Coturnix japonica: one gene and its partners. The protein of the gene in region 1 interacts with the protein of each later gene in a biochemical or structural test. Links are inferred from orthologs where the notes say so. Each region holds a gene or a part of one and is shown on either strand. Other genes may lie near its edges.

Evidence for each region.
Region 2: of the proteins of BCL2 (region 1) and PPP2CA, one has a biochemical effect on the other in vitro, tested with the Homo sapiens proteins (2 studies listed by BioGRID, with this or other methods). The link is inferred for Coturnix japonica from reciprocal best matches to the Homo sapiens genes BCL2 and PPP2CA.
Region 3: the proteins of BCL2 (region 1) and PMAIP1 interact in a biophysical measurement, tested with the Homo sapiens proteins (2 studies listed by BioGRID and IntAct, with this or other methods). The link is inferred for Coturnix japonica from reciprocal best matches to the Homo sapiens genes BCL2 and PMAIP1.
Region 4: the proteins of BCL2 (region 1) and FKBP8 form a complex in vitro, tested with the Homo sapiens proteins (4 studies listed by BioGRID, with this or other methods). The link is inferred for Coturnix japonica from reciprocal best matches to the Homo sapiens genes BCL2 and FKBP8.

Annotation. Positions count from the first base shown.
Region 1 is NC_029517.1:62,996,209-63,000,637, forward strand, and holds part of BCL2 (apoptosis regulator Bcl-2), read right to left. Parts: intron 2,442-4,429; coding exon 2,307-2,441; 3' UTR 1-2,306. UniProt on the Homo sapiens protein: Suppresses apoptosis in a variety of cell systems including factor-dependent lymphohematopoietic and neural cells. Regulates cell death by controlling the mitochondrial membrane permeability. Appears to function in a feedback loop system with caspases.
Region 2 is NC_029528.1:2,280,623-2,285,705, forward strand, and holds the start of PPP2CA (serine/threonine-protein phosphatase 2A catalytic subunit alpha isoform), read right to left. Parts: upstream 3,416-5,083; 5' UTR 3,198-3,415; coding exon 3,096-3,197; intron 1-3,095. UniProt on the Homo sapiens protein: Catalytic subunit of protein phosphatase 2A (PP2A), a serine/threonine phosphatase involved in the regulation of a wide variety of enzymes, signal transduction pathways, and cellular events.
Region 3 is NC_029547.1:8,679,017-8,684,177, reverse strand, and holds the start of PMAIP1 (phorbol-12-myristate-13-acetate-induced protein 1), read right to left. Parts: upstream 3,236-5,161; 5' UTR 1,970-3,235; coding exon 1,918-1,969; intron 1,771-1,917; coding exon 1,613-1,770; 3' UTR 1-1,612. UniProt on the Homo sapiens protein: Promotes activation of caspases and apoptosis. Promotes mitochondrial membrane changes and efflux of apoptogenic proteins from the mitochondria. Contributes to p53/TP53-dependent apoptosis after radiation exposure. Promotes proteasomal degradation of MCL1.
Region 4 is NC_029543.1:2,932,596-2,937,530, reverse strand, and holds the start of FKBP8 (peptidyl-prolyl cis-trans isomerase FKBP8), read right to left. Parts: upstream 3,474-4,935; 5' UTR 3,468-3,473; coding exon 3,427-3,467; intron 3,389-3,426; exon of another isoform or gene 3,273-3,388; intron 3,154-3,272; coding exon 2,849-3,153; intron 2,716-2,848; coding exon 2,546-2,715; intron 2,415-2,545; coding exon 2,326-2,414; intron 2,219-2,325; coding exon 2,001-2,218; intron 1,927-2,000; coding exon 1,754-1,926; intron 1,661-1,753; coding exon 1,583-1,660; intron 1-1,582. Other genes in the region: KXD1 (kxDL motif-containing protein 1), read left to right, coding at 4,039-4,133, 4,217-4,369, 4,466-4,512, 4,789-4,935. UniProt on the Homo sapiens protein: Constitutively inactive PPiase, which becomes active when bound to calmodulin and calcium. Seems to act as a chaperone for BCL2, targets it to the mitochondria and modulates its phosphorylation state.

The DNA of each region.
Region 1 (4,429 bases):
TAATAAAATAAACAATTTTGAAACAATTTGAGGTCTAATAGTTCATGAACTTTAATGGGCGTATGGGCATAAATTGAAACAAAGACTAGCTTGTGAAATGAAACATCAGCTCGATAGCAGCCAATTCCAGTTTTGAAATCAGCTTCAGACACGTTCAGCTTCGCAGCTGAAAAAAAAAAAACAAAGCCCACACTCGATCCACAATACTTGGTTGCTCCCAATTCAAATATTTCTCATATGAATCCTGCACACATATGCCCACTTCTGACAGAAGCTCCAAAAACACTGCAGGTGCATCTGATTCTATGACATTTTTTCTTTTCTTTAAAATCGATCCTAGTTTTAGTCCCACTTCTGTGATCTTTGAAACACCTCCTTTGTATGTTTCTATGAAATTACAAGTAATTTCAAAGTGGAAAGGTAAGCTCGTTCCATCTTTGCTCACACAAAGTGTAGGTGCCATGACTAAATAGCAGTAAAAATGCTGAGATGTACAACTCTTAAAACAAACAAACAAACAAAAAAAAGCAGCTTTGAAGACACAACATCAACTACAGCCTTAACATTGAACATCTTACATTCCCAAGTTAATGGAGATATTTTGCATATAATGCCACAAAGTTATCCATCTGAAATTCTGAGGTTGAATCTACAGTTTATTCACTGTATTTTATTTTACTTTTTTCACCCCTTATTAGCACTTCTGCGCTGTACGGTACATTACATTCAGAGCTTTAAAACCTTTTCTTTCTATCTCTGAATGTCCATTTACCCACAAATCCCGGGTTTCAAAAGTTTCGTAGAAAAAATAGGAGCGTTTGATTGAAGATGGCGATGTCCATTCAACAGAGCAGTCCATGCAACACACTGGGATTCTTCTGCTTCGTCAGCAATTCCGGCCCCCTCCGAGCACATGGAAAGCCCTGCTTTGACATACATCAACACACCTGGTCTTAGGACACAGGTCTGCTTATAAAAGTGTATACTGAGTATTCTGCATTAACTGTACTTGCGTTGCATTTCTAACAGGGGCAGATGGCTTCACCCTCCCCTTTTTCCTCCACCCTGTTTTCGCTTGAAATGACAGTAGGCACCTGTGAGATCGAGGTGTCAGAGAGTCTCTGTCCAGATAGAGGAGTTTCTTCTTCATCTTTTCTTCAGTAGACAGTCTTAGGAAATTATTAGCATGAAATAATTTTGAGGGCAAGGGGCAGGAGGATAAAGCTCACTTTCTTTCTGTGTTATGAAAATGAACTTGATTTTGGTGTCTGGTTTGAGAAACGAGGATAGTCAGAGCTAATTTGTAACTCAGCTGAGGTCTGTTTCTTGCCAAATAGAATTAAAATCTTTTTCAACTTTCAGGGATTTGGAGACCACATTTAATTGGTTTCAAACCCCCAGAGGAACTCTGTAAGTAAACAGGATTAGTTGCAGATATGAGCCCTAAAGTGGGACGCAGGTCAGGTCTTCAGACTCCAGCTCTGCTCTGTAGAAGCAGGCACTTAAGGTCTCCTGATGTTTCTGTGTCAGTAGCCGTGAAAACTTTTTACTGCTGAGAAAATCATTGGAACAGTAATTTCCTGCAAGCCCCAAAGATTAAACTTCACACATCCATAAAGAAAAGCATTTGAGCTGACACATAGTAGGGTATAGGATGATGCTATCATGACTATGATGCGATGGCACGACTGGTAACTTGAAAACGCATGTCTACAAGGCAGAGGCAATTGCATTTCAAGCTGTAGGGATAGCCAAGTGTCCTTCAAGAAGTCACCATTTTGACTGCATGCGTGTACCATGTTGAGCTCGCAGGCAGGACGGGATTAGAACTTTGTTCACATTGACCTTTTCTTTCAGAGCCCTCTCGGCCATCCCAAAAATTGCAAGGAGATCTATACAATTACACAGCCGTTAGCAGCTCAAGTAACTGCCTTCCTAAGTGTAAGCAGGTAGGTCTTTGTCAGTATACTTGCTCTTTCCAGATAAAATGATCCAGACAACTGCATCAATTAAAAAAAAAAGAACCTAAAATGCTTTGGGGCTCTTTAAAGTTAAGAATAACAACATGATGTGATGACAGATACAACTTGCAGAGTTTCTGAAAATAGCAGGTTAAAATGTAAATATATTTTAATAAATAATTTTCCTGCAATGTAAAAATAAATGATATTTCCTTTGGCAGTAATAGCTGATTTAATCTTTAGCCAGGAAGTTGTTTTGCTCATAAAATACCATTGTGCTACAGAAAAAAAATATTATTTTGCTGTTTTGAAAGACTTTTGTAATCCACGATAAACTGGGTGACTCTACTTGTGTCCAAGATAAGCGCCAAGAGTGATGCAAGCTCCCACCAGAACCAGGCTCAGGATGGTCTTCAGAGAGATCCAGGAGAAATCGAACAAAGGCCTCATACTGTTGCCGTACAATTCCACGAAGGCATCCTAGAAAGGGAAATAAAGGAACATCAGAATCACAGTAACTCTTGAAGGGAGGTAGGAGAGCTTCTTCACATGTAGTGGTCATTCAGCAATCACTTCGGTAGAAAAAAACCCCACAACACATCAACGTATGAAAACAGTGATTTGGGAGCTATGTTTTTGTGCAGTGCTTAGCACAAAGTTCTCCTGCCTATTTCTTCACAAACATTGCTGTAATTACTTACAGTCTGTTTTAGGCATGGCCTGTCCAACAGCAAATACAGTAACGGCATTTTTTAAACAGGAGCTAACTCCCTTGTGGCTCCCTTTTGTGTATATACAAAAACACATGAAGGATGGAATGGAAGAGATTGGAACTTCATTCTCCAAACCTTTTGCTTCCACTGGACAAAGGACATCTATTTTGTTGACTAATATTTATTGTGTTCCTTAGGGATAGGGTTCAGAAGACTCCACACAGCCATCATTGAGATGTTTCTTCTGTGTGAGTTGAAGCTGTTAGGGTGCAGTTCTGTGTTACGCTATTGCTGGCCTTTTATGACTGTCACCAAAAGGGCTGACACCTCAGCCCCGTGTTCCTGATAGCCATTCCTCTGATATAGCAGTGGTCTGTTTTTGTGCTCCACAAATACAATGGGATTTTGACTGGGCTAGTGATCAGATCGGTAACACTCTGTGCTTAATGTGTTTCTTTCAAGCTGCCTGCCATTCTTTACAAACATGAAACCTGAGAACACTCAGAGAGGTAAACCACACTGTGCTGCATGAAAGCAACGAATAATGAAGCTGAATGGCTTAAAAAAATAAAAAGGGGGGGGGGGGGGGAGGGTGTAGAAAAAATAGCAGAGTTTAGGACAACTCTATCTTGTGCAACCAATTAAGGTCTGCACCCAAACCACAGAGATAAACCCATCAGACAGATATCCATTGTGGGGTTTACATCATTCTCTATTATCCTAGGCTTCCAAATTTTTGTAAAAGCAAACATTCTCTACTTATGTTATGTTGCCTTTAGACATTTTGCAATGTTACTATGCTAGGCGGTAACCTGCCTTCTGAAAATGCATACATGTCACGGATCACAGCAAGAACAAAGAGTAACAGGTCTCTGCCCTTCATAGAAACCTTTCAGCCAGATGCATTTCCCATAAATCACACATTAAATAGCCTTCCTCATTAGCCCATTCTAGATATTGTTAAAATAAGTGCATTTATGGTTATACCACGAGAGGGCGTGTAAGGGTTTTTTATATCGTGCCATTTTGACTCCTGTTCACTAGACCAAGCGAGATGCAAATAAATAAAACATTTGTAATCTCCAAATGTGTTTTTATATTAAGTAATATTGGCTCGTGTTGTAGGTAAGAGTGAATGTGTCAGTAACAGAATAGCTAAGGGGTTTGCCCAACAGGTTGACCCAAATTGTCTTCCTCCTGATATTTCTCAATGCTTCTTCCTCCAGGCAATCATTTTCAAACTTGAGTATCCAAGACTATATTCTTAAGTGAAGGCAGTTTAACCTTTGGGGCCAATGTCTTAACGCAAATTGTTCTTCCCTGAGAAAATTCAGCAACTTTTGCATAGCTGTGTTGTGTTTGAAATAGACATTGCCAAACCTTGGCCTCAATATTCTTCTGTGCTGATGAAGAGCCGAGAAGTACAGAGTTTGCTGAGCAGTTCTTTGGACAGCTTTCTTTATTTCTCCTTAAGGCTATGAAGTAACACAATATCCTAAAATGTTACAGACTGGGCTAAATCCTGTTGCCGCCACTGCAGACTCACTGACTTCCATGGGAGCTTTGTCTGGATAGGGAGTTCACGATCATGCCTTATAAAAATACAAGAAGGGTGAAGTTCAAAACTTGCTGATATTATAATAGGTGGAAAACACAGGAAACGAAAAAAAAAAAAATACCATGGAAATGCAAGTCGTGAAAATATCTTAATGTTACATTTCCATGGTTTCTTTCTGTGGGCTGAGTCTCACTTCT
Region 2 (5,083 bases), on another chromosome or scaffold:
AGCTCTTCCCAGTAAGACATTCCCAGACATCTCCACACAGAGGGAGATACAATCTGTAATAACCAATGGGGATTGCATCCACCAGCTCTGCTCATCCCTGTGTTCCATTCCGGATCGCCAGCCCACCTTTCCTGAGCTGCACATCACAACAGCCCCATCGAGACCATTTCCCACAAAGGATGGGAAAGAACAGCAGCCTTGTTCTAAGTGGGCAGTGGAAAATAACCTCACCTGGCCATAAAGGACTTCCTTTCTCCTGTACACAGACAGCAGACAGCGAACAGTTCAGCCTCAGCAGGACAAATGTGGCCAATATTATAAATGCCATATACTTGAGTAAGGCACATATTTATAACAACTCTTCAAAGCTAACAGTTAAGAAATACTTAAAGCACATAAAACCTGTCACTGGTGTAGCAAAATTAATAGAAAATATTCACATTAAATTCTTCTAATTGTCACTCAGACTTTTTTCAGGTCTGTGAAAGTCGCTATTATTTGTGGCTACAAATTATTCCTGGCTCTAGAAGACATTTCTACCAGGTACCATCACCAAGGTAATAAGGCACAACACAGGATGCACTGAGAGTAACTGCGATGCATGAATGGCCACACTGAGTTACTGTGCTGCACTGCACTGTGTCTGCAAATAGCTGTTGTGTTCTTCTGCTATCAATACTGAAACACAACAGAGCCCTCAGGCTTCGTCTTACTAGACACACACGAAGCCTCAGAAGATCCAGAAATACCAGTCAGAAGATCACCTAATAAACAGCATGTTATGGGGAAAAGCCTTCACAAGAGGGATTACTTTTTTCTATCGTAGCTACAGCTCAGAGCAGTGAGGAATGACAGCTTCTGTCAGATAGGGTCTGCACCCATCATTTGAAACAGTGACTATGTTTGACACCACCCTTAACATCTAAGCTCTCTATGGAAAATCATAACCTTTGGGTGTGATTGCAGACAATAATCAAAACACGAATCATAATTCAGTACTGCAGAGAGCTGGTGCTGGAAGCCTGGGAACAGGATAAATGAGGAACCTCTGCAGACAGGCACAGAATTCAACTAATGCCCTGCTTTGGGAACACAGCAACCCATGGGGGGGACAGGACAATGGAAAGCTTGACACAGCATCTCACCTACCACTAACAGGGGCTGGTAAATCCACCAGTAGTTATCACCCTTAATACAAACAGCCTGGATGTACCTCACAAAGTGTTGACCTCAACCGAGTAATAGAGAGGGAGCTTTATCTCAAGCACAGTGTCATGCTGCCCAAAGACATTCCACCTTTGGTCTGGAGCTGGCTCCAACTTGTGGCAAACCATCCCTGCTGCTCAGTGGTATTCTCACATCAGCCTCTCTCCTGTCCTTGCAGCCTTTCATCTCAATGCAGCAGTCGAACAGGCAGCTTTCTGTAACCTAATTCAACTCCTTCATCCAAACAATTCCTGCAGCTCATCACCTATCATTCCTCCAGCCTCTCCAACAGAGTCTGCTGCTCCTACAGAGCCCACCTGCCTCGTGATTCCTTGCCTTGAACCTATCAGAATCGTTTCAGGTTAGAACAGCTTTTTCTTTCCTAGTGTCATGAATCTATTCTGGTGATGAACATTACACGCTCAGCCAGAAATAGACTAATTCAATTCTTCATTAGGAAAAAATGAAGACACCTCCATCCTCGCACAGATTATGAACAGGACTATGGTGCCTTTTGTGCGGTTTCTATTGGCATGTCTACTGCTCACCTATCCACAGCATCCACTAAATGCAAAGAATTTCATTTATTCCTCGGGTTTTTACAGATTGCCATACAACCACATTAGAAATACCCAGCCAGGATTCAGCCCTTCCATCAGCACATCAGTGATGGCAAATGGGACACGAGGAAAAAGTCAGAGTGCTGGCACTAAAGACACACAAGGGAAACAATCCCTAACCTGCTACTTGCTTGGAACACCACGTTAAACACACAAACTATATCTAACGGCTTTGATTTTGAGTTGCTGGAATATGAGGCGACTGAAATGTGGGACACAACAAGAACCTGTATGGCCAAAAGCACTGCAAGTTAATTCTAAGTCCACATACAACCCTCTGGAAACAATCTGCTTCTAAACCAACACGCTGTACTATTTGAAGGCATGGTGCCAACCTTAAAATACCCCTGTTTCCTCCTGTGATAGGCACGCAGCCTTCTTTAGGACCGAGGGCATCAATAACCTCCATACGCATTGATTTCTAGATCCCTCCCCCAAAAAAGGCAATTCCTTCAATCTAAAGGTGCACACAAATAAAACCTCCAGTAATTGAAGGGAAAATAATGGCTCATGATGGCTGAGGATTTAATTCCGCTCAGAAACAGACTGTAACCGGACAATACAACCGGGTACCACTGCAGCTATTATTCCTTTAATTCCTAGAGCACAGTTGCCGATGTGAAGCCGCTCCTACACTACACACACAGCACATCATTGTGCTGCGCGGATCCCCATCAGTCACCGTAGCAATAAACAGCGACACGAGCTTTATGTCACTAAGCGCCATTTTATTCTGGAAAAAAAAAAAACAAAAAACAAACCCGACTCCCCAGGTCGATCTAAAATTCCGCTTCAATTAGAAATAACCGCGATCCTATATTTGTATGGTAAATGAATAACTGAATAATCCGCCGTGCTCACAGCAGCTCGGAGCCCCGCACCGCGCCCTACGCTCCCTGCCCTACACGGCCTCCCCGTGTCACCGCACAGCACCGCACGGATGGCGGAGCGGCAGGGCCGGGCCCGGCGGCGGCTCTCGTGCTCTGTGGCGGCGGCTCCCGGCAGCGGCGCCATTTTAGGAGGCGATGAAAAGGCGGGAGGCGGGGCCAGGCCGCGGCAATGCCCGCCGAGGGGCCGCGGCTCATCCAGCGCCGGGCAGAGCGAGCAGCGCCCAGCGGAGCCCAACAGAGCGACCCACCGAGCCGATGTGTGGAGCCGACCCACTGCCCGGCACCGCTCCGATCCGTCCTGCTCACAGCCCCGTGTGCCCAACCCCGGAGGTGCCGCCCCGCCCCGTGCCGCCGCTCCGCTCCCCACGCCGCGCCTCACCTTCTCGCACAGGCTCTTCACCTGCCCCTCGGACAGCTGCTTGCACTCGTTGAGCTGCTCCACCCACTGGTCCAGCTCCTTGGTGAACACCTTCTCCTCCATCCCGCACGCAGCCGCTCGCTCGCCCCCTCCTCCTCCGCCTCCTCCTCCCCCTCACCACCAGCTGCCGCCGCTCCCCCCAAAGGCCCCAACGACGCGATCCCGGTGGTCGCGGCTCAGCAGCGGGTCGTGGAGCTGCGGGCGGAGCGGCGCCCAACGCACGGCAGCGAACAGAGCGCTCCGACCCTCGCTCTGCCCGTGTAATGGCCGCCGCTGCTGACGTCACGGCCCCACTACACTGCGGGGAGGGGACGGCGCCGCCATGGGAGGGGACGGCGCGTGCGCAGTAGGCTGGACGGACCGCGCATGCGCGACATGGGCGGGACCTGCCCGACCGGAGAGACGGAGCTCTATGCTGCGCATGCGCGGCGCATGCTGGCTGGGGGGAGCGGGGCTTGCGCGCTGTGAGGGGCTTCGTGCGCATGCGCGGGAGGAGCTGCGGGTCATGAGCTTTTCCCGCCCGTGCAGGGCGCGGCTGTGGGCGGGTCTGAGGGAGAGCGGTGGGGAAATAGGGGGTAGCGCTGTACAGTGTGTGGGGTACGGCTTCATGGGTGTGTGGGGGAGCGGGGTGTGACACTGAGGGCGCAGTGCTGAAGGACGCTACTTTGCAACGCTGGAGGCCTTGGGTTCGAATCCCCCTGTGGCGCAAGTGGTAGCAGTGCCGCTCTGCAGCACAGAGGCTCCAATCCCGGGGTTGGACTCGGTGATCTCTAAGGTCCCTGCCAACCCGCACCGCACTGTGACACTGTGACGCTGTGCGGTGTGTGTAACGTGTATTGCAGTGGTCTTCATCCTAAATGACGGGGCTGCCGGTGTGGCATTTCCTTACAGTAACTTATCAAGCGTGTGAAATATCAGTTAAAAGAACAACAAAATCAATAAAGTGGGTCAGAATTTGGCCCAATGTGCCCTTTTGGAATTAGCCACTTACCAAAGGCTTCCTGCTTAATAGGAGTCACTTGTCTCCAGCCGGGTTTGCCTTGCAGTGAGTGGAAAGGGTTAAATTCTTTGCTTGCTATTGAGGCAAAGAAACAAAATAGTGAGCAAAGGGGAAGGAATGTTTGCTGTAACCAGTCGGTCTCGGTTCCTCCATGTCATGCTCTCTCTATAAGATGTGCATTTTTTTGGCATGCCTTTCTTCAGGGGCTCTATTTTGCATCCTCAGATGCCTCTGGTTTTGTATTTTAAAGCTGTAAAAGGAGAGGTGTTATCTGTTGAAAAATGGCAAGAATCTGCTCTGTGGCACTGCTTCATTGCCTCCCAAATAATCCTGAACAAGCAACTGGAAAGAACATAAGGCAATAATCCTCTCTTATTTAACTAGCCAAGTTAAAGACCGTATTTAGCTTTTGTTTTCATAGAGATAGAGGAATTCCTGGTGAAACTCAGGTTCTGAATTCTTTCTGATTTTTTCTTTTTTAAATTTCTTAAATTAAAGCTTCAGTAGCAGGAAAATCTTAACTTGCTTATGAAACTGCAACCAAAGTCCTGTGACGTATTATCTGATATGTGCAGAGAAAACACGTGTAATGTGCACTAGGCAGTGCTCCATGCGGATTGCAATAGTGATTGCTGCTGTCTTTAAAGCAATTGTGGTGGCTCCCAAACCTGCCATAGGTTAATGGGAGCCTGGTGTTAGGGTTACTCTGCTATGGAAAGGTTCCTTGTTTGAAAAGGCAGTCATAGCTCTTAGCTATCAACTCAGCATCATGAGGTAGGGGATTCATCGTTCCTTGCTCGCAGTTGAAGCTGTGCCGTTGACTAGAAGAGAACTGAGGACTTGGCACAGCAGTATTTTGGATCCAGTTATTCAGGTGCTCACATAGAAGGGAGACAATTGGAGTTCCATCTAAAACAACCTGCTCTATTCTTTATCCCTGTGTTGTCTC
Region 3 (5,161 bases), on another chromosome or scaffold:
CTGAACTGGAATTCAGGAGGTGCAACTACGCACCCTTACACAACGCAAATACAGCTGCATACCAAAGCAGAGCTCAGCTAGAGAAGCAAGCGCGTGGCCACACCTGACTTTCTGTGCTACATCTTCTGAAGGAGATGGGGATTCTGCACATCTCTGAACACTGATTGAAGAGGTAGCAACAAATGTCACCAGCCGTGGCCTTTTTATTGCTGCACCCTTGAAAGAACACTGTTCAGGAGCAAGATGTGGTGTGCAGAGGTGACACCTGCCTGGGCTGTGAGCTTAGTGCAGCTCCTCTGGAGCCAACAAGGGGAATTCTACATTACAGCAGCACATTGCCCTACTCTGGGTGCTGCAGCAGCTTCCTCTGTCCGGAAACAAAATGAGGATGCCATGAAACGAAAGAGAAACTAAGTACAAGGGAAGGATTTTCCCGTACAGAATGAATAAAGATTGCGGCTGCTTTCCTGTACTGACTGTAACAATCTGTCTTATGATTTCTTCACAGGGAGGCGGCTGCCTTCCTTGAAAAAATGGCGATCCAAAGAAAATTTGATCTTTGACTCAGATTCGACGTTATGGTCTCTTGATAAGTTATTTTGCTACTCAGAAAAACACACAGAGGAGCTGTATTGTCATCAAAAACTTCTTTTCAGTGTTGGAAGAAACCTTCCACACAACATACATCATACCTCAGTATTTCTGTACTATACATTTGTATTAATTATCTAATGGTATACTAAATTATGTTCCCCTCTGTAATTCAAGAAGTGTTTCCTGTACCATCAGAAAAGAGAGTGCTTTCTCTTCTGCTTAATATGAACTATTTCCATCATGTTTTGAGCATTTTTTCATGCTACTCTTTGAGCCTAAAGAAGTAGCATTCACTTAACAGGTCTGTGAAACACTCCTCTCATACAAAGGGGTACGCATATTTTATATATATGTAATATATATCTATGCAAATATATACATATATATAATATATAGACTATAACTATGCAATATCACATTAATTCACAGAATTGCATTTTTTTTTTATCCCCAAAGCCACTTGCTACAACAAATAACCTTTATATTAAAGCAGTGGTTTTAATGAACAAATGAGATATCCCCAACACCACCACTTCCCCATCCAGCAGAATCCGAGCTGTAGAAGATAAGGGCAGTCAGAACCTGAACGCCGGCTTTCACCTTGTTGACTCATGCCCACGTTCCACAACTTCTTTCTTTGCTTCGGAACCTTTCTGTCCGCAGTTCCTGGCTGGGATGTGGGATGCGAAGGCAACAGGGGAGGTGGGGTTGTCACAGGGTTCCCCAGCCCCAAGAAGAACAAGTTCCAACCTGCCCCTCACTACGTAGCGAGGGGCCGGTGCTCATTGCCTCCATTTTTTCCCCCAACTTAGCATCCATAAAGCAATAACGTTGTAACACTTCCCAAAGAAATCACATGGTGACAGCCATCCCTCGGCGTCTGCAGGTAGCAAAACACAAATCAAAGAGCTTTTTTTTTTTTTCCCCTCCATCTCCCAGTGTAAGTGAAATCTCTCGTTCCAGATCTGCAAAGTCGAAATCTTCCCCCTTTCTTTCTCAGCGCTGCGGGGGCGGCGGATCACGTCTTGGGGCAGAAGAGTTTAGTGATGAGGTTCAGGATCTTCTGCCTGAGGTCCGCCTTGTCGCCGATCCTGCGCAGCTCCACGGCGCACTCAGCCACCGCGTCCCTCTCTGCAAGGCACGCGCAGGGAGGTGGGGATTTAATTCGAGCGAGGTCTATTCCAGGTAGCGGCACAGGGGAAAGCAAGAAGAATATCAAGTAGAAAAAGGAAGAGGAAAAAGGAAAAGCGTGTTTTTTTCCAGCATCAAACTCTCCCCCGCAATAAAAACACCTGAGACCTGTCTCCTTTCTCCTCGCCCTACCTGCAGGCTCGGCGGGTGGAGCAGGTTTGCGTATCGTCCTGCCGGGCATCATCGCGGCAACAGCTCGGCTCGGTTCGGCTCGGCGCAGTCCGGATCCACACGGCTCGGCGGCGGCGGGACACTGCGGGCAGGCGGGGCGATGCGCGCCCTAAAAGCGGAGCGCGGCGGGGTTTTCCCTCGTAGTGACGTCAGGAACAGTGCGGGAATCCCTCCCCCACCGTGGCGGGAGCGTGTCGGAGCGAGCCCGGACCGGTGGAGGAACGCAGAAATAAAGCGGGGTGCGGGGCGTGATGAGGGGGAGGGGATGGGTGTGCGGGATGGGGGGGTGTACTTGTGTTAAAACAGTGTAAGGATGCGCAGTGTATGGGAGGTAGAAGGATGCTGACCTACACCTGCAGCTCAGGGTTCTACCCTGCTGCTGGACCCGCACGCAGTGCCCAGGCAGCTCTGGCAGCTCACCTGCAAGTCCAGGTTGTGCTACACGGAAGCAAAGCTGAAATTGCCGCATGGCCCTCGTGACTTTTGTGATCGTAGCATAGTTTTGGGAGAGCTGCCAGAGCTCCGCCAGTGAGTCATCTGTCTGCAGGAAAGTTTGGTGTGATGGCTGTTTGTGTTTACCTGAAAACGAAAACAGGTGGACAGAAAGAGAGCAAGAAGGGTCAGACGTAACAAAGAGCTGATCTGAGGCTGGGTGCAATGTATACCCACCTTTCCCATTGCAACGCAGCTACAAGCAGGAAAAGACACTGCAATTGGGAGGTCAGGAAGTGCTTTCCTGTGGGATCAGAGCCTCTGGGACAAGTGTCTACAAAGCTGATTGCTGTCTGTTGGAAGAGGAAACTTCACCAGCTCAGTTCAGAGCTCCTTTTCCCTGCGTGTCTCAGGGTGCCTTGCTGGAATCCACAGCCGGGTGTGGATATTGCACAGCTGAGGCTGCAGCACAGTGAGGTGCACCGGGCAGGCACTGTGTCAGGGCCCTCTGGCACTTTCTTTTATCTGTCCTCGTCTCTCAGCTTATGATATAATACCTACATGGTATACAGGCTTATTGGCTAGATGTGATGTTTTTAGGGTCATTTCACATCCATACCAGCACATGTGTTTGTAATGCAGGCCCATACTGAGAAAGGTGCCCTTTGGCCTTTGATTCCTGTTATGGGAGAAACTCTCTCTCCAAACAGGTCTGTTGGGTTTAGGTGGCAGGGAGGCAGCAAATAGCCCTGGGGTGCATTGTCCATGTGGCGGGTGTCCCTTGGCTGCCCACAAGTGTGCACTGCCCACAACCCCATGAACAGCAGTGCTCAGCAGCTTCAGCAGGGAACAGGGACACATCAGCCCTCTTGTTGTCCTCCCCACAGAACAAAAACTGAGGAGAAGGAACGGAGGAGCAAAGCATGAGAAAGGAGAATTGCTGCAAGCATTTATTTAGCTCATTTAAGTGGAGCCAGAAACAATTTGAGAGAGATCTACTACTCAGGCATAAAAACCAGTGCCCCTCAATCTTGATATATCATAGGATCACTGAATTAATTGAACAGAATGGGACCTCAAATCTGCCCCAGCCTCAACCCAGCCCCTGCCATGGGCTGGCTGTCCCCACTAGTTCAGGCTGCTCAGGGCCTCATCCAACCCAGCTCTGAGCACCTCCAGGGATGGGGCACCACAGCTGCTCTGGAAAGTCTGTGCCAGGACCTCACTGACCTGAGTCAAGAATTTCTCCCTAATATCTACTCTAAATCTAAAATCTCCCCTCTTTTAGTTTTAAGGAGGACCTTGTCCTATCAACTGTCAGACTGCATAAAAAGTCTTCTGCTTATAATCTCCCTTCAAGTACTGTCAGGTCGCAGCGAGATGTCCCTGCAGTCTACTCTTCTCCAGGCTGTCAAGATCAGCTCTCTCAGCCTTTCTTCATAGAACAGCTGCTCCATCCTCTGAGCATCTGCCCAGCTTAGAAAGACTCCCTTGCCAAAACGGGGAACAGCCTTTAAAGGTAGCTCATCCTACTGCCCCTGCAGCAGCACCAAGAGACGGTCTCTCTTCTTTTGGAGATACTTCCACCTGCCAGGGCAGCAGTGCACAGATCAGTGGACTAGCTGATTGGCAAGGTTCATTTATTTCTTTTTGTTACTTGAGAACAGTTGTAGGGCAAAAAGAAGAATGGGAGTCTTCAGTGTGCAAATTGGGTTTACGGGCCAGGGCACCTGCAGTGCTCACCTCTGCATGCCCTGCTGCTGCAGCCCTCCTATGTGCAGGGCAGAGAGCCCACTGCCACAGGAGGAGCTTGCTGGATGCTGGTGGGCAATGAGGCTGTGGCTGTGGGGCCACTCTTTGCCTTGCTCAATGTGGCAGGGTGAAAAATAACCTGCTGTGGTTACAGGCTGCCAGTGAGCTCTGACACTGTTGGTTTCAGTTCCTCTAAACAAAGCAGCATGGCTGTGGGAAGAGCAGCACCCCAGGAGGCTGCTCCTTAGAGTGGTCTTGAAAGCTGTGGGGCCATGGGCATAGCCTGGGGGAAAATGGGTAGGAACAGAGTTAAGCAGCCCTGGACCTCAGAGCCATTTTTCTGTTTATCAGCATCTGAAGATTGAGGGATTATGTGGCTGGGAAGGGAGAATCCCGAGATGCTGTACACGGAGCCATGCTGGTGTCAGGCACTGCGGTCTGAGCAGCGCTGGAGATCAAGAGCAGCGCGTGACCAACCTGCAGCGTGACTAATGCCAGCGGGCAGATGTGATGAAAGGAAAACGAATGTTACAGAAACAAAAACAAGAGCAGAACTGAAAGGAAAGCGAACGTTTTTTTGTTTTTGTTTTTTCTCTGAATTCTGATGCTTCTGCTGAATCAGCTTCAAGCACCACATCTCTATAAAATTAAATAAATCATTGCTGCTGTTTGGTTATGAGAATCTCTCGCTATTGAGTCCTGCTGCCCGGTGCTGGCGGCTCTGAGCTCACTGATGGGCTGTGTGCTGCTCTTTCCCTTCCTCTTTCTGCAGACTGCAGCTCGGTGGCTCCTGCAATGAGTGCTGGAGCAGGAAGCAGAGCTGTGCTGCCGGGGGTGTGAGACAAAGGTCACCCGGAACATGGTGGGTGCGGCCATGCCGGTGCATGGCTGGTGTGCCGGGCTCTGCAGGCCGTCGGGTCTTTCCGTGGTTGAAATAGATCTTCCTGTTGGTTCCTGGTTGCTGTCCTGCTGGGCTGGCTCCGGCTGTTAGAAGTAAAATCATGGAATTGTGTAGGTTGAG
Region 4 (4,935 bases), on another chromosome or scaffold:
TCCTTTAATCGAGGCAGAAAAGTTTCTGCCTCGGGGACAGACCAGCCAGAGCTCTATCACATTTCTATCTGGAAATAGGCTGGGTAAGAAGGCTCACACCAAACCTGGTCTGAAGCCAGACTATGGCAAACCTTGGATGTCCTTCTGCATCCTGCACTATTGGACCTGCTCTGTGGTGGAGGGCTGATATCCCCAGCCTGCAGTGGCAGCAACACAGCGGTGCCACAGCTGTGCTGTGCCCTCTGCTGGGGATGCTGTGCTGCAGGCAGCTCTGATACTGCCCCAAAGCACCAGCACAGCGAGCAGCCAGGGCACTGCCAAGCCATGGCACCTGCAAACACACCCCAGCACCTTGCTGGGTTTGGTGCTTTGATGTAGAACAAACAGCATCTCCATAAAGGTGAACCTCCAAGGGGTTAGAAAGGGACGTGAAGGTTTGCACCAGTGACGAGGTGCCGGCAGCACCAGACAACCAGGTTTTCTCATCCAAAAGCAGGTGGAGCTGATCATTTCTTGAGTCTGTTCTCACCACCGGTAGCCTTAGCTGTGACTCACCACTGTGTGTTTAAAGCTGCACTGCCACATCCCTGCGAATCTCAGCAAGCAGCTGGAAAGGCCAATCATTTGTTTGTGGTTTCATTGGTAACGTCACTGCCAGGCAGTTTGATTTTTGCTCCTTTTCAATTAAAAGCTTCACCCAGATGGGCTGATGAGCTGCAGCCCTGCCAGCAGCAATGACACAAAGGACAAGCAGGGAGAGCATCCCCCATCCCTGTAGTCCCAGTTCTGCTCCTCTACCTCTTACAAGCAGCCCAAGTGCTACTTTGAGATCCCATATACCCTTCCTCATGAGGGCTCTCACACCACAAGGTGCCTGGGAGCTCTGAAGGCTATTGAGCACCTGCAGGGCCTCATGCTGCCCGTGACCTTCAGGCACCAGGGAACACGAGGTGAACTGTGATGTTTTGGTGGAATGGCCACAAAGAGGCGGATAAAACCGAGAAGCCAATGAAGGAGCAATGCCCCCACTGCAGGCAGCACCTCCCCTGCTGCTCCCAGCCCTGCTTTTGCTGGAGCCACTTCCTGGCACTGCTGAGGCTTTTGACTTCCCTGAGGCTTCAGTCCTGCAGCTGATCATTAACTAACAGGAAATTCCTGACCCAGAGATTGCTCCGGCCTGGGTGCTGGACTGAGGCTTGGGTTTGCTGGGGCCACCCAATGAATCACACTGCAGACTGCTGAGTGAGATGACAAGAACTTGCTCTGCCTCGCTTCTCACAGCAATGGCACAAGCCACAGGGAAGCCAGACCGTGCAGGCAGAGCTGCTGAAGCAGAGATGGGCTGGCAGAGATCCCTGCTACCACAAGGGCCAAAGGGCAAAAAGAGAGTCTTGCAACATGGAGATAAGGAACCCACGAGCTCAGCCACGTTCAGGTATTGCAGCACCAGGTGCTGGCACTTGGTACACCACCCCACAGCTGCCCTGGCCACACACAAAGGAGACTGGTGACAGCTATGGGGTACACTGAGGTTTGTAGGAACACGGCCACAAGGCCAGAGCCATGAGAACACCCAGCCTACCTTGTTTGAAGGCTCCAGCTTCAAAGCTGCCTTTAGGATGGGGATGGCCTCTCTGTACTCGCCCTGCTGGGCCAGGACCTGGAAGATGAGGTGGGGGTTGAGGGAGGTGACTGAGGTCTGGTCCCTGCGCCTCCCCAGCCCTGCTGAAGTGCAGGGATGGCAGCAGCTCACCTTGCCCTTCCGGAAAAGTGCCTTGATGTTCCCTGGCTGGTGCTCCAGAACAAGGTTACAGGACTTCAGGGCCGCCTCATAATGGTCCAGTTTAAGCTGAGAGGCTGCCAGATTGTTGAGACATTTCACCTTCACATCCAGCAGCTCAGCCTCCTCATCCGGGGTGAAATCAACTGCAAAGACCCCAGAGGTGAGTTACAACAGGAAGGAAGCACAGGCAGCCCTCGCTCACAGCAGAAAGGGGTACCTTTGGAACTGGAGCCGATGACTTTGAGAGCGATGTCATAGGAATTGATGGCCAACACATAATCTGCCTGCTGGTAGTAGAAGTTACCTCGCTCCCGCTTGCGGTTGGCCAGGTCTATCTTTTCCTTCCCACTGAGCAGCTCCAGGTCTGGTGCATCCCGAGCCTCCAGCAGCTCGACCTCCAGCGTGAGGGCTGCGTTGGGTGGGATGTCAGGGCTCCTGCAGTGGCACAAAGCTGTGATCAGGCCGTGGTAGTGGGGAATGGGGATAGTTGTCATAGCCCTGTTTGGGCCCACCCTATCCCATTCCACACTCTCCATGCTCACCTGCCCTGTGCACCATAGCAATACTTGGCATCTGATGTAATCAAAGCAGTTTCTCTCATCTCCATAAGCTGTACACAGAGGTCCAGAGCCTACAGGGAGCAATGTTGCAGGAGAAGATGAGCAAAGCAACCAACCCTGACTCCAACAAGGACATTGCCAACCCCATGTCTCCCCCCAGGGTGAAGTTGCACACATCAGAGCAGCTTCCTCCAAGCCCCACCTGCAATACATCACAGTCTCCCAGGGTAAAGGTGAGGCTGGGGTTCTCCTCCACCACAGTGCCATCGTCCAGTGTGGCCCTCAGACGGACAGTCACCTCCTGGCCTTTGTGGGGGCGGCTCTCCACCCCCTGACCTGGCACGAGTGTCTTCTTCTTAAGCAAACCACTCCCTGGGCCAAGAGAAGCCAGAGGTGGTCAGCCCATAGTAGGGAAGGGGAGAACCTCACTCCCAACCCAACCTCAGCCTCCGTGGTCGCCAAAGCATCTTGGGAATGCCCTGCTGCCCTCCTGCCCTGCTCTCACCCAAGACATCGAGCCACTCCTGGGGGTCCTCAGCTGCTTCCCCTGGGCCTTGCTCTGCGGACTGGGCGTCCTCCTGCAGCGGTCCCCGTGCCCGTCCCACGTCCTCCAGCGGCGGCAGCTCGCTCAGATCATCCTCGTCCTCCTCCAGAACCTCGAAATCCTCCATACTGTCCAGCTGAGCGGAGCAGGCTGCGGCCGATTCCGGGCTGGGCGGTTCGGTGCCGCTGCCCGCCCGGCCGGGGGAGCCGCTGCTCGTCTCCTCTCCGCTGGAAGCCATGGCGGCAGAGCAGGGAGAGAGTAGCGACCTGCGGGAGATACAAACAGCAAACTGCGGACACCGCGATGAGGCGTCTAACACCACCCGAGCGGCTCGGGCTCGCACAGCGCCCTTCCGCCGGGGCCGGCCCGGGGAGGCCCCACTCACCGGTTCCGGCCCCTGGAAGCCCCGCCCCGCGCCCCTCTCCTCCACCACGTGCTTTTCTCCCGCGCGCGCGCCCGCCGGGGGGTCCCCCCGTCACGTTCCCGCCACGCGCGGGGACTCCCCTGGCAACGGCCGCGCGCCCCCCGCTCCCACCTACCCGCCAACCCGCGCCCGCTGGCCCCGCCCCCGCGCTCCCATTGGGCCGCTGCCTCCCGCCCCCCTCAGGCCATTGGGTGACGCCGACGTTCCTCATCGGCGCGTCGAGAACGGCGCGCCGCGGTCTTAAAGGGGCCGCAGCACCGAACCTGCTCCGCGGGTCCGGAACCCCAACCGGGCCGGTGTCCCCGCCGCCCGTCACCCCGGCAGCTCTCGGTGCACCGCCTCTAACGACTGTGGGTGCTGGAGGCCCACGGAGCTTTCCCGGACCTCTCAATCCCTGCGAGGTCGGTCCATCGCACAGAACAGCCCCGGGTTCGTTTTCCGGTACCGGGACAGACCCGGTCCCTTCACTAGACCCAATCGCCACCACTTCCGGCCCGGCGCCGTGACGCACACGCGCGGTGACGCCACGGGGTCGCGCTCGACGTGACCCCGCACCCGGAAGCGAGGAGCGGCCGCCGGTTCCTCTCCCGTCATGTGAAGGGAGACGGAAAAGGAGCGGCCCCGGTGCTGCCGAGGGACGGACGGAGATACCGAGTCCGGGTTTGGGGGGGGGGGTTCCGTTACCGGGCACTGCGGGGGCCGGGGATCCCTTAGAGGCAGCGGTGCGATGGAGCCCACGGCCTCGCGGGTGTTCTGCGGGCGGGTGCTGGGCATGGTGAACACCGAGGATGTGAACGCGATCATCCAGGCTCAGAAGAACATGTGAGTCCCGGGGGGGTCCCGTGAGCGGGGGCAGCCCCCGGTGCGCTCATATAACACCGGGAACTGCTGCCCCCCCCCCGCAGGTTGGATCGTTTTGAGAAGACGAACGAGATGCTGCTCAACTTCAACAACCTGTCGAGCATCCGAATGCAGCAGATGAACGAGCGCTTCCTGCACCACACCAAGACGTTGGTGGAGATGAAGAAGGATCTCGACAGCATCTTCCGTCGGATCCGGTAGGAAGAGCTGGGAGGGGATGGTGTGAGGGACCCCAAGGATGGAAGGGGTCTGTGTGTGTGTCCAGCTGTGAACGTGGCTCTCTCCTCCTGCAGGGCGCTGAAGGGGAAGCTGGCCAAGCAGTACCCGGAGGCTTTCAGCAGTGAGTGCTTCCTCAGGTTCTTCTTCCTTCGTCAAGGTTCCCCCTCCTCAGAATGTGCCTTCAATGGGGAGTTTGGGACTGCCAGCATGCAGCTGCTGTGTTAACAATCCAATGTATTGTGTAGGAAATCACAAAGCCACAAATGCAATGGGGTCTGATTTTGTTGATTACAATTGTTGATTAAAATCCTTCTGCCAGAGTGTGGCTGGCCTTGCAGTGCATCATGTTGCTGTTTGTATCTACAGCAGTTATTAACATCTACTTCTTCCTTTCCAGACATACACGAATCTCCTATTCTAGAAGATGACGACGACTTCGACCCGGTTCCGAAGAGCACGACAACCACCATTGCTACCTCTGAGCAGAGCACCGAGTCCTGCGACACCAGCCCCGACATCATCTCACCCACCACGAGTCAGGATT